Regions from separate parts of the Mus musculus genome. Here all the other regions are reported to be linked to region 3. Evidence: microRNA targets listed by miRTarBase, many of them from high-throughput screens and not tested one by one. Region 3 holds a microRNA gene; each other region holds the end of a gene's coding sequence.
The links. Region 3 holds the annotated microRNA mmu-miR-410-3p (AAUAUAACACAGAUGGCCUGU, at 2,174-2,194, shown strand). A microRNA usually pairs through its seed, bases 2 to 8, with sites in the 3' UTR of a target mRNA and lowers its output. Matches are read on the target gene's strand: a 7mer-m8 pairs with bases 2 to 8, a 7mer-A1 pairs with bases 2 to 7 and ends in A, and an 8mer does both.

Region 1: miRTarBase lists Ndnf as a target of mmu-miR-410-3p. Seed matches in the 3' UTR shown: 7mer-A1 at 3,142-3,148.
Region 2: the mRNA of Nckap5l is a reported target of mmu-miR-410-3p. Seed matches in the 3' UTR shown: 7mer-A1 at 1,266-1,272.

What each region holds. Positions count from the first base shown.
Region 1 is chr6:65,703,771-65,707,955 of GRCm38, reverse strand. Ndnf (neuron-derived neurotrophic factor) reads right to left here. Exons shown (of 4, transcript NM_172399.3): 4 at 1,026-4,185. The coding sequence ends at 3,511. Among named protein-coding and RNA genes, the nearest start is that of Ndnf, 34 kb to the right of the region's middle.
Region 2 is chr15:99,419,258-99,423,435 of GRCm38, reverse strand. Nckap5l (NCK-associated protein 5-like) reads left to right here. Exons shown (of 13, transcript NM_001001884.1): 11 at 1-70; 12 at 158-300; 13 at 528-1,402. The coding sequence ends at 737. Among named protein-coding and RNA genes, the nearest start is that of Nckap5los, 11 kb to the left of the region's middle. RefSeq lists an enhancer at 1,879-3,482.
Region 3 is chr12:109,741,591-109,745,765 of GRCm38, forward strand. Mir410 (microRNA 410) reads left to right here and starts at 2,125; the gene lies at 2,125-2,205. Mirg (miRNA containing gene) reads left to right here. Exons shown (of 8, transcript NR_028265.1): 3 at 100-225; 4 at 472-700; 5 at 1,767-1,828; 6 at 2,076-2,257. Mir541 (microRNA 541) reads left to right here and starts at 819; the gene lies at 819-908. Mir409 (microRNA 409) reads left to right here and starts at 1,568; the gene lies at 1,568-1,646. It also overlaps Mir412 and Mir369.

The DNA of each region.
Region 1 (4,185 bases), not on the chromosome of region 3:
TTTCACTGAGATTACCTACATCCAACCTCACAAAGTAATCAATAAACATTATCAGCTTGGTGACATGGCCCAGTGGATAAGAGCACTTGCTGCTCTTCCAGAAGACCCAGGTTCAATTCCCCAAATCCCCATGTCAGTTCACAACCATCTGTAACTGCAGTTCCAAGGGATCTAATGCCCTCTTCAGACTTCTGCCGACATGTGTGCATGTAGAACATCTATACATATACAAAAAAATTTAAATATTTTTTAAGGAAGAAATAAGTGTAGCTTGAATTCATCACCTTAAACTAAAATTTGTCAGTTTAACCTGAACAATCATCATTTCAGAACATAGAAATATTAGTTACTTCAGATGGATTTGGGGCAACAAAATAAAGCATTGCCTTTTAGCTCTAATCTTTGAATGCATGTTTAAAAACTGAATTAGGGGCTGGAGAGATGGTTCAGCGATTAAGAACACTGGCTGCTCTTCCAGAGAACTGAAGTAAATTTCCTAGCACCCGCATGGTGACTTACAATCATCTGTACCCACAGTCCTAGGGAATTCACACCCAATTCTGGCCTCCATAGACACCAGGCACACACTTGTTACAGAGATATACATGCAGAAAAAATATTCATAGACATAAAAATTTACATACTGATTACAAGTTAGTTTTAAAATTCTGTTGTGTTTTGGAGACAAAGTATTTCTAATGTATGTTTGCATATACATTAATAAATAGACTAATAAAATTCTAGTCTTAGCTTTGTGTATGCAAACATATACTAGAAATAATTCATCTTCAAAATTATTTTCTTATAACTTTGAAGTGATCAACTATAGACATCACATTTCTTAAGAAACAAGAATAATTACACTAAAAGACTACTTTTAAAAACTCACCTATGAGTGAATATTTTTTCAAACAAAATTTGATGACTTGTATTCGGAAAGCATTTTGGAGTCTATGACATAACTTGCTTAACTCATTCAACTATAGAACCATTTGTTTGTTTGTTTTGCTTTGCTTAATTTTTCTGCACTGAGTCTCACCTTGTAGTCCTTAGTGGGCCTGGGTCTCATTAAATAGATCAGGCTGAAACTCAAATTCACAGAACTCCATTTGCCTCTGTCTCCTGGTATACATTTGTGTGGGCAAAACTTTCTTATTTTTTGTTTCTCTTGTTTTAAATATATTCTGTTCTTTCTCTGTCATTGTACTTGAAAAGGAAAGATAATGAGCTAAATATCTCCAAGCCTTCTCTTCTCAATATCCGTCTACACATGGCATTGGGTACCATCCCTCTCAGTGTCTATTGTTCTCTCAGAGATTAGCGTAGGCCAGGTTTTGCTTTTATATTAGCAAGCGTGTAGTTATTTCTAAAATGTGAATGAATGAGTCCCTTCCTTGTCCCTAGTCCACTGGATACTCCTGAAATCTTAGCACATCAGTGAGGCATGATTTTCAAGGCTTTTCCCTTTGTTATAAGCAGTAAGCCTTTCATGATGTGTGTTTAATTTTCCTTAGCTTGAAAAGGCAATTTTTATCCTAGGGTCATTAGAGAATTTCTGTATTTGTCCACAATATGAAGAAACTACTACCACGCCTAGCAGAAAATTCAAAGTGTTTTAAAATCAGTTCAACCTGGTTCCCAGATGCTGAGAGTTAGGCAGTATCCAAGATCCCAGACCTTCAAAGCAGCAGTAATCTGATTCGCTGCAGTCCCACTTACAAGTTGCTCAGCAGCATTAGGAAGCTGCTTTTCTCACATCTATAGCTGAATATAATTTCTCTGAGTGTCAATTTGTCAGTCTCTCCTTTTATTGAAGCTGCTTAAATAAAGCATTGGGTACATGGTTGTCAGCTTCCAAAAAGTTATTTCAGATGTTGTTCCTGCATTGCACAGATGGATCAATTTTGCTGAAAGTTACTGCCAAGGATTTAGAGGGTATGCCATAACGCTTGTACTTTCCCTTAAGGTAAGCAGAACACACGTCATAGGGAACTATATACAACGCCATCTCTGCCACAGTATTCCTATACCCCATAGAAATGCTGCTGTGAACTCTCACCAGCAAAGCTGTGCCGGCATGCAGTGGATAGCAATAAGAGGAACCATTGCGCCTGTTCTCACTCTAGCCATAGAATGTAAGGGTTTAGGGTCAGGATTTTGCAAACGGCAACTTCTCATGTCAGAAGGTATTTCACAGTGTCATTGTATCCACTTCTACCACTTCCTCAACTTTATAAATGGGAAAGGGGATGGTGGGCAGTAACATTCTCCTAAAGTCATATGGTTTTAGGTGACCAACAATTACAAGTATTTCTGAATCTTGCTTTTATGGTCTCATGTTGCCTTGGAATTTCCAAGTAAAATCTGTAGAGGATAAAAGTGTCCCCATGCTCCCTTGGTAGAGCCTGCAGATGTTATTTGCTAGACTTGTATCTTACACTAAAATTAACTTTAAAAACAGTTGAAAACTCAAAATAAAATTACCTGCAGCAGTGTTTTATAAATCTTGTAAGCAGCAGATGTAGCATTGTGTTGTGACTGATGAAAGTCCTAATCAAGGTTCTCACCTGCTTCAGCAAGCCGTTAAAAGATTTGCCAAAATTTAAGCAAATGGAAAATAAATGTTTAAAATGATCGCTTATCAGATTGATAGTGTTTGCCTTGTTCTATGCTCAAACAAGCCTATTACAGTTCTTCGTCTCCCATTGAGTTCCCAAATCCAGACTTGAATAACCAGCTCTTGATGCCAGTAAAGATCGAGAGAGCCAACATTTACCTCCTAGCTACTAAATAAGACTAAATTTTGGTGCCAACTTACAGAAAAAGCACGGTTTTAAGGACAGATAAGCAATTGAATATACCACAGTACTGCTTGGGAAAATGAACAGTGTAATAATCTAATATTCTTAATTTTATATACATGAATATAATGTATATCAACTTTTTACATGAGATACATACAGACAGCATTTAAACATTTTACTGAACAAATAAGAATTTACAACAATATTACTGCTTAGAGGGTGATACGATCTTAGATTAGATCTATACTTTAACAGAGAAAGAATTTAATAGCTTACAATAATAGAAACACCAACAATTAAAACAGACTTTATAAAATAATTTATATTTATATATTTATATATAAACTTCCCCTAACATCTATAGAGAGGAATTATTTGCATTTGTGAATGTGTGCAACGAATGGCATATTTTAAAATTTTAGGTAATAAAATAATTTAGAAGCAGTTCATGCAATGGTCAAAGCAAGGGGTGGCATCCATTGAGATACCCTCTTCTTTTGACATTAACCAGCATTAGACAGATGGACCCTAAGTACCACAGGTGTGCGTGAGTACAAGTCTCCATGCTACATTAGGCAAGCATCAATGTACACATGTTGTTACCCTTTCTTTCAAGTACAACTTTTGTTTGTCACGAGAGTAGTCAGTTACAAGCAGTGTGACTCCATGTCTCTCCTGGAGTTCTCCTGATCTTCACTCAAGGTGACTAACAGACCTTCCTTGTTTTCACAATTTTACTTTGATACTTCACAGAGTGTCCCCCATGTCCTACGACGTAAACATCCAGCAGGTAAGACTTCCCAGGCTGCAGATCTCTGATTGTCTCTGTAGTCACTGCTTTCTGCAGGTTTTGGCTGTGGAAGTATTTGCAAAGGACCTTCTCTGATTTCTTTCTGGTGTCTGGTCCTAGGCACTGGTTTTGCTCTCTTCTCTTCTGGTCTTCACTGTAGTTTCCATCCACTTCCTTTCTGTAGATACAAAACTTTCTCCTTTCTTGGGTGCCAAGCCATGCCACCGTAACTGAAGAGCAGGTACGTAGCTTGTCAAAAGCTTTGATTCTTGTGTCTTCGGGAAGAGAGGGGAATGCATGCTTACTGGGCCTGGTGGTCGCCAGTATTTTCAGCTTTGATGCTCCTTTCCTGTTGCCTTTCAGTCGAATGAGGTATTTTCCTTTGGGTTTTCCTCTTAACTGAAACTGCCGAATGCCTTCCACATTCTGTGACAGAAGCAGCCTCCCATCTCTTCTCACTTGGACTTGAACGGCATCCATACAAGAATGAATAAAGAACGTGACCTTTTGGTGAGAGGAGACTGGAGCAAACCGTAGAAACTTTTTCCCCTTCCTTTTAACAAACACATCTGTGACCCTCCCGTCTTTGAG
Region 2 (4,178 bases), not on the chromosome of region 3:
AGCATGCCAGCCTTCCCTGGACTGCTCACAGCTCCCCCAGGCCACCGAAGCCATCAGACCTGTCCCGATGGTGAGTGTCCCCTCAAGTGGTAGGGCATCCCTAAGAGGCTCCTTGGAGCCGGACCAATGCATCCACTTCCCCCTTCTTCTTGGACAGATCCCTGTGAAGACCCAGGCCCTCCCCCACCTGTCCAGCTGGCCAAGAACTGGACCTTCCCCAACACCAGAACAGCTGGCAGCTCCAGCGACCCCTTCCTGTGCCCACCCCGACAACTGGAGGGACTGCCTAGAACCCCCATGGTAAGGCCACAGAAGGGAGGAGAGAGAGGCCTGGGTGCCTGGAGGGAGAGACTGGGAGATGGATGTCTCTGAGCTGTGTACAGCCAGCCAGCACCTCCTCTGGAGGTGAGGATAAGTTCGCCCACCCATCCCATTTTGGAAGAAGGCTTCCATTATTCCTGCCTCTGTGGACCCCCACAGCAGTCAGGGTGGCTACGATTCCTCTCTGAGCAGTACCTCTCCTCTAGGCCCTGCCCGTAGACCGAAAACAGAGCGTGGATCCCAGCCGCACATCTACACCTCAGGGCCCAGCATTTGGAGGCAGTCGTACCCCCAGCACGTCGGACATGGGCGAGGAAGGCCGAGTGGCCAGCGGGGGCGCCCCCGGGCTGGAGACCTCAGAATCCCTAAGTGACTCCCTCTATGACTCGCTATCCTCCTGTGGGAGTCAGGGTTGAGGGACCGCACCCACTACAGTTCCTCTGGAGCTAGGGACCCTCAACGACCTGCTTCCGCGCTCCACGCCCCACGCCTTTGGGCCGGTGAAGCTTGACCTGAAGGGACCAAGGAGAAAGAGGATAAGAAGGCGATGGGGGGTCCCTGGCGTATGCCACTGCTGCTGTGGATGCGACAACCATGCTCAGCTCAGGGAGAGACCTCATCCCCAGTCCCTTGACTCCCCCAGAGTAAGGCTCTGCTCTACGGGACCGGGGGCTCCAGGCTGCTTTGTCCCAGCTCCCACTTCAGGCCGAGCCATCTTGCGGTGCTAGGCTTCCTGCCCGCCAGCTGTGCCACCTCTGCCCAACCTGGCTGCAACCCTGCCCCAAAGCCCCCATGGGGCTGATTTTGGAAGCCCCAGGCTTATGGAGTTTGGGGGTGAGGGGGACAAGTCGCCTTCACTCTGCCCTGGTCCTCCCTGCTGTCTGAATGGTGCTGCCTCCCTTCCCCACATCGTGGGGTCTGTTTGTCTGTCTTCATCTTTGTTTTTATATATATATATATATATAAGCGCCTGGCCCAGTCCCCACCCCTACCCGCACTGCGGTTAATTTATCTGTTGTTGAAAAGCAGCCCTGCTTCTGCAGCATCCCTAATAAAACGTGGAGGCCTCTCCCCACCGTGACTGTTGTGTGGCAGCCCCCCCTTTGTGCTTGCTGGCTTCTCTATAATCCTTCGGGTGGACTGGTGGGTAGGTCCAGGGACCCTCGGGTGCTCTAATGAGGCTCTGTGCCCTTCCCCTGGAGGAGCTGGCTAGAAGGTGACTTACAGTGACCTGTGTAGATCTGAAGCCCAGAGGATGTCACTGACCAGAGGGCACACAAGGCCATGCAGCCTTGGTGAGAAAGATGGGGAAGAGGCCTGTGATCATGCGCTCAAACCTCTCTATGCTCCAGGTTGGGGACTGGCCAGTTCGGAGCAGTCCCACTGGCTTTATATATAGACACGGGACAGTCAGTGACTACCCAGGCCGAGAGGGGAAGAGCCTGAGAGGACTACCCTCACACCGGCACACTATGCTGTCTCTCAACTCACTTCCTCGTGCTTTATAAACCATCTCTATATGACTCGGGAGCACTAGAAGCCAAGGATATTTATCACCAGAGCTGGCGTTCCTAAAAAAACCTATCACTACAAACCTTGGTTTTCCTCATCTGTATATTAGACTGAGAGGCCAGGTGGCCCCGCCCCATCAGCAGCCTGAGGCCAGGTGGCCCCGCCCCTGTTCTCCTTCACGCTCTACGCTCCGCCCACATCTGCCATCTTCCCTTAGCTGACGCCATCACTGAAGAAATTAACAAGACCAGAACAGGGTCTGACAATGCAGTTTTGTCCCTGCCCCTTCCTAGGTGTACTAACGGAAGTCTGCATCTTGGTTTCTGACCAACTCCTGACTGGTTTCTTGACCTGTTATTGCCCTAAGCCTGATGCATTACATCATTTCCTGTTAGAACTGCGTTGGCCTCCTAGATCCCATTCCTTCCTGGAAAGGAGTTTGGCATGGTGGGCTTTCATCTTCACTTCAAAGCTAAGACCAAAATCCATGTTCTCGACAGGGTCTGCTCAGTATGCTAGGAATTTGAAAATACCAGGTGCCACCTCGGTCCCTGGGTCAGAATGAGTTGACTGGAGAAATGTCCCAGGGCAGGATAGGCTGCAGGAACCATAGTGGTCCCGGGAGGCAGCCCTGCCCACCATGGTCAGCCATAGCCCACATGACAATCTCCCCCTCCCCCAACTCCTGCCTGATCCCAGTCAGCCATAGCCCACATGACAATGGCCCCCCTCCCCGGACCCAGGGCTCGGTTCCAACTGAAAGAATTTGAGGGCGGGAGCATGTGGGTTTATTGATACTCCAGGGAGCCCGGTTTCTTGGCGCTCAAGGAAAGCTTTGCTGAAAACCTCCTTGATCATGGCTGGGGCAGAACACTTGGTGTCTCGGTTTGCAACAGCTGCTTGTAAAGTTACTGTGACCTCACTCTCCTCAAGAACAATGGGCGAATGTTCATGTAAGACCTCAGCCGGGTTTCCCAAACACAGGAAGTTCAGACTGCCAGACAGCTGCCCTCCCCCAAAAGGCCAAAGCCAAAAGGCGGGAAAGAGGCGGGCTCCGCACACTGGCACCTCTCCTTTTGCAGGAAGCCCCCCGCCCCCACCCCTCCCTCCGCGACACCCACACACACAAAGAAAAAGAAAAAAAAAATAGCCTCTCTAAGGCTGCCAGGGGTTTATTTTATTTCCTTTTTTCTACTTTTCCCCCCCACAAATAGTATGTTTTGTTTCCTTTAAAAAAAAAAGTTTAAAAAAAGAAAACATGCTCTGTAGCAAACCCCAGCTCTAGATCCCCGCCCTTATTCTCTGGGGTAATTCAAGTGTATAAATAAATCTCTTAAAGCCAAAAGTTCACGGTAAGTACTTGTGGGGTCGTCTGTGATTTTAGGGAAGGGGACCAGCTGTTTTTTAAAGATTTATTTATTATTATATCTAAGTACACTGTAGCTGTCTTCAGACACACCAGAAGAGGGAGTCAGATCTCATTAGGATGGTTGTGAGCCACCATGTTGCTGGGGTTTGAACTCAGGACCTTTGGCTCGGAAGAGCAGTCAGTGCTCTTAACCACTGAGCCATCTCTCCAGCCCCGGGGACCAGCTTTTTAAAAACGTTTTAATTATTAAAGACCTACAAATCTGGGTTGATTCACAGCCCTCTGTCCAGTTTCAGGGTACGGTTCTTGCTTGTGGGAACATGAACCCTAGTTTCAAATAGCTGGCACCTACATAAAAGCCAGGCTTGAAGGTGTGTGTCTATAACCTCAGCACTTGGGGGTGGGGGAGGGGGCCAAGCCAGGTGGATATCAGGACTTGATAAGTAGCCAGTTGGGTCAAATGGTAAATCGCAGGTTCAATAATAGATTGTCATAAGAAGAAAGCAAGGCCCAGCGTGCTAGCACTTAGGAGGCAGAGGCAGGCAGATCTATGAGTTCTAGGACAGCCTGGTCTTCAGGGTGAGTTCTAGGACAGCCAGGCCTACACAAAGAAACCCTGTTTCCAAAAAAAAAAACAAAAAACAAAAACAAAAAAGAAAGAAATGGTCTTTTGGAAGCCAGGTGTGAGGTGTTGACACTTTGGCATCAGCATCTGGGAGGCAGGAGGCCAGGCCTTCCTGAGCTGCAGAATGTAGTAGCCTCAGCTACAGAAGACCCTGTTTCAAAAACAGTCAGACCCCTGTACAGACTCAGGGGTAAAAGGCCCTTGCCACCAAGCCTGACTCACTTCTCCAGGCCCACATGGTGGAAGGAGAGAGCAGACAGCCATCGGTTGTCCTCTGACTTCTGTGTGCTACGTACTTGCTCACACATAAATATATTTAATTAAAATAAAATATGTAAGTATATATGTTTT
Region 3 (4,175 bases):
TAGACTAGAGCTAGTGGGGTGATAAGAAGGACTGGTCACCATGTGGGTTTTTTTTTTTAATGTGGCTAAACTTTATTTTCCCATCCCAAACCTTTACAGAGAGCTTCATGGAGTATTCAGAAGCTGGCGGGTGTCACCTGGAGGATGTGACTGGGTACCAGTGCCAGAGCACGTGCCCACTGAGCAGTCTTCTTCACTTTCCTCGATCCTCATGAAACATTCCGGGTAAGACACTGGTTCTGGGGAGTCTGCTCTTGCCGAGCAGTTGGTACCTGGAACATTCTAGGGCCTGCCCTTCCTTGGGTTTCCATGTTGCCAGCTCCCAGGGCTAGGCTTAAAGACGTACCCATTGTTGGTGCTGAAGGGCTAGGCCCGTACGGGAGGTCATTTTAGAGTGGATGTATCCAGGGTCTAATATACTATCTGGGGTGTGATGAGCACCAGGTTTCATGGTGGCTCTCTTTCCAAAAGGATCTTTACCTCAAAGGACTCCAGAGGCTACATCATTGTCTTGGAACTGGTCAGTGGCTGGAGCTCTCTCCAGGACAAGTGCTTGGAGGAAGAACCTGGACAAGCTTCCCTCCCCATACTGTTGACTGGATCTTGTAGCTACCGTTAGCCACCATCATCGCCATTGTGTGCCTCTTAGGAGCATTTCCAGGAGGTGATGCCAGCTGGGGAAAGAGCCTCTGTCCCACAGGTCAGTTTCCAGAACACCTACATGAAGCTGCCCGTGGCGTCTTTTCCCCGTATGACACACTGCATGTGACCAGTCTCTTGCTGCCCTGCAGCAAGGCTAGAAGCCTGTGTGAACTCTTGCCAAAATCAGAGAAGGGATTCTGATGTTGGTCACACTCCAAGAGTTTTAAAATGAGTGGCGAACACAGAATCCATACTCTGCTTATGGCCTAAGTCAATGGATCCTGACCCTTACTGGAGAGCCCTCCCTGGCGTGCTCGTGCGGGGCAGCCATACACACTGGCACAAGGGGACCCTGCGGGATCTCCTTCCGCTGTTCTTTCTCTCCTCCCTCCATGTTTATCTTTGAAGCATTACTTGCTTGGTTTATAGGACTGGATGGTCAAGCAGTTCTTGCTATGACATCACCGTGGGGGGAGGGGGCAGGTGACAGGGCGGGGATGCCAGGGTCGTGGGGCTGCAGTGGTTGGGTGGGCCCAAGGAGGAGCATCTCTGGATGATGCAGTCATTGCCTCCTCGCTTCTGGAAGGCATCGTCTCTGGGAGGGTGGTGTGGTATATGCGCAGGGTCTCAGCATCTCCCTATCTCCAGCTTACAAAGGAGAGATAGAGTAAGCAGAGTTCTGCACCCACTTCTGCCCCGAGTCAGCTCCTCGCTACCTGGGTCTCAAGGTTGTCTGGGAAGGCTTTAGATATTCTTGGAAGGTGAAAGGGTGGTAGATTGCACTGGGGAGGTGATGGAATAATTGCTTTCACGTGGTGGAGGGTGGCTCCTCACTGAATGGGGAGTTATAATCTCTGAGGGGCTCCAGGATGGTTCTTCTGGAAACTCAGCCATCGGCCTCGTTCTGAGCATCCGAGCCTCTCCGTGGTACTCGGAGAGAGGTTACCCGAGCAACTTTGCATCTGGAGGACGAATGTTGCTCGGTGAACCCCTTTTCGGTATCAAATCCCTCCAGGGAGGCCACCTCAGGGAAGACCATGGACTCATCTCGCTCTGGGGTATGGGACGGATGGTCGACCAGCTGGAAAGTAATTGTTTCTAATGTACTTCACCTGGTCCACTAGCCGTCGGTGCCCGCTGCAGCCTGCGCCCAGGATGTCACAGCCTCAGCTCAACACCTCTGCTGGTACTTGAAGGGAGATCGACCGTGTTATATTCGCTTGGCTGACTTCGAATAATACATGGTTGATCTTTTCTCAGTATCAACGCTCAGCTTGGAGAAGCTCTTGGAGTTGCAGCCCCTGTGGGGGTGGGGACAGCATGGTGCTTCTAGGTTGCTGCCTCCGCGGGGAACTGGGCTGGGTGGAACAGGCTGTGTGCTGCCTGTGTCAACCCTACTCACCATTTATATGCAATCCCCCCCTTCCCCCCAGGACAGCTTCAGGTGGTGATTCCAGCTCCAGGGTTGCTGCGGTCAACACTGGGTACTTGAGGAGAGGTTGTCTGTGATGAGTTCGCTTTATTAATGACGAATATAACACAGATGGCCTGTTTTCAATACCACCTGCCACTCCGGTCACTCGGCAGTACATACCAGGTGTCACACCACTGCCCGGTAGGTAAATGCATGGACTCTGTATGACGCTTGTCACCCCCTCTTCACTGAACCTCAGCTCTGAGGAGCCTCCTGGGATCGCACCAACCTTGTAGGCTGGGCCACGAAGCATTGGCCAGATGTGCAATGGATGGCTGTCCACTTTCCATGCCTCTTTCCCGCCACAACAATGGGTGTTTGTCCCTGTCTAAGGCTTCCACCGAGGGCTGCATGCTCAAATGCCCTGTACCCTGGGTGCTTCTCAATACCATGAGGGCTTGGAGGGGCTAGCATGATACTTAGGGAAGAGCCAGGCCAGTTGGTTACACGTGCAGTTCCTAGTATCTGAGGTGAGATTGCCCGTGACGGGTTTCCATTCTTAATGCTGGTACAGTGCATGGTCACCTCTCTTTATCATTGGCTCTTACTGTGTGAGCATGGGTGTCAGGGGAGGGACACACTTTGCTGACCCACTGGACACCACTGATGGTCAGGCATGTAGCTGACTCATCCTGACCCAGAGCCTCACATCTCCTGAGGTGGGGGTTGGGAAGTCCAGAAGGGCATCTTAGAGGAAGAAGCATCCTAAGTAGAGTCCGTGCTGGTGGTACCTGAGCTAGCTTGTCTCTGAGACGTTTGTTTTCTATCTGATGACTATCCCACAGCCTACTTCTCTGCACCATGTCCTACCCTAGACCATTTCTACTTTGAGGCATTGATGCCAAGAACTGAAGCCTTTGTGTTGGTTGACTCTCTAGTCTGTATGTGAGACCATCCCTTGGCCTGTCTTGTCCTCAGTGCCACCCTGTTGGAAATAGCACAGAATGTCCTCCTGAGTCTACAAGGCAGTGATACCCAAGCTCTGTCCCTGCTTCACGAGCACAGGGGGCCCAGTAGGGATTAGCCTGCACTTCTTTTTTTTTTTTTTTTTTTTTATTTTTTTTTTTTTTTTCATTTTTTTTTTATTAGGTATTTAGCTCATTTACATTTCCAATGCTATACCAAAAGTCCCCCTTACCCACCCACCCCCACTCCCCTACCCACCCACTCCCCCCCTTTGGCCCTGGCGTTCCCCTGTACCGGGGCACACAAAGTCTGCGTGTCCAATGTAGCCTGCACTTCTTCATGTTTCCTCCAACTTAACACTCTGGCTCTGTCAGACTCCTGTGAGCTTACTGTAGAGGCTTGACCTAGAGTCTCAAGGACCCCAGAAAGTACCTGATCACACCCAGTAGGAGCCTTTGAAAGACAGGCTATAGATTTTTGGTATTTAGTAAGGCTCCCCAGGGTGGCAAAGAGCTCTTTCTGATTGGGCTTGCTCCCCATTGGAGCAAGTAGCACCCTCACCCTGGCAACTCCACCCTGCATGCTTTTTCTCCTCTTCTGGGCCTCCTCAGCAGCAAAATGCTCTTCCAACAGAGATAGTGGCTGCGCACCCTGGCTTGTACCTAGCACATGGTCTCCTTTAGATTTCTTCTCTTGTTCAGGATGGTCTGCCCAGGCGCCCTCTCTCTGGGAGTTGGTCCTGGTTACTGTCTCCCACAGTCCATCCCCCTTCCTTGGTCCTCAAGCTTGTAGGCCCCCTCCACAGGAGTTCAAGACTCGGAGGGGATCGTGTTCCCTGCTCTGCAGTGACAGTGCAGGCAGCCTGACACTCTTATCCAGCTCCTTCCTTTGTGATATGACATCAGACTGCTTGTCAGCTATGGCTCCCCAGGTGCCTGCTTTCCCAAACTGCCTAGTACCTTGGTTCCCAGCCTCTCCCTGACCCCAACCAAAACAAAACAAAACAAAACAAAACAAAAAAAAAAAAAAAAGAAGAAGAGAAAAGAAAAGAAAAGAAAAGAAAAGAAAAGAAAAGAAAAGAAAAGAAAAGAAAAGAAAAGAAAAGAAAAAAGCTTTAAGATTTCCCAAGGCAGACGAGGACCTTTCCTTTGCG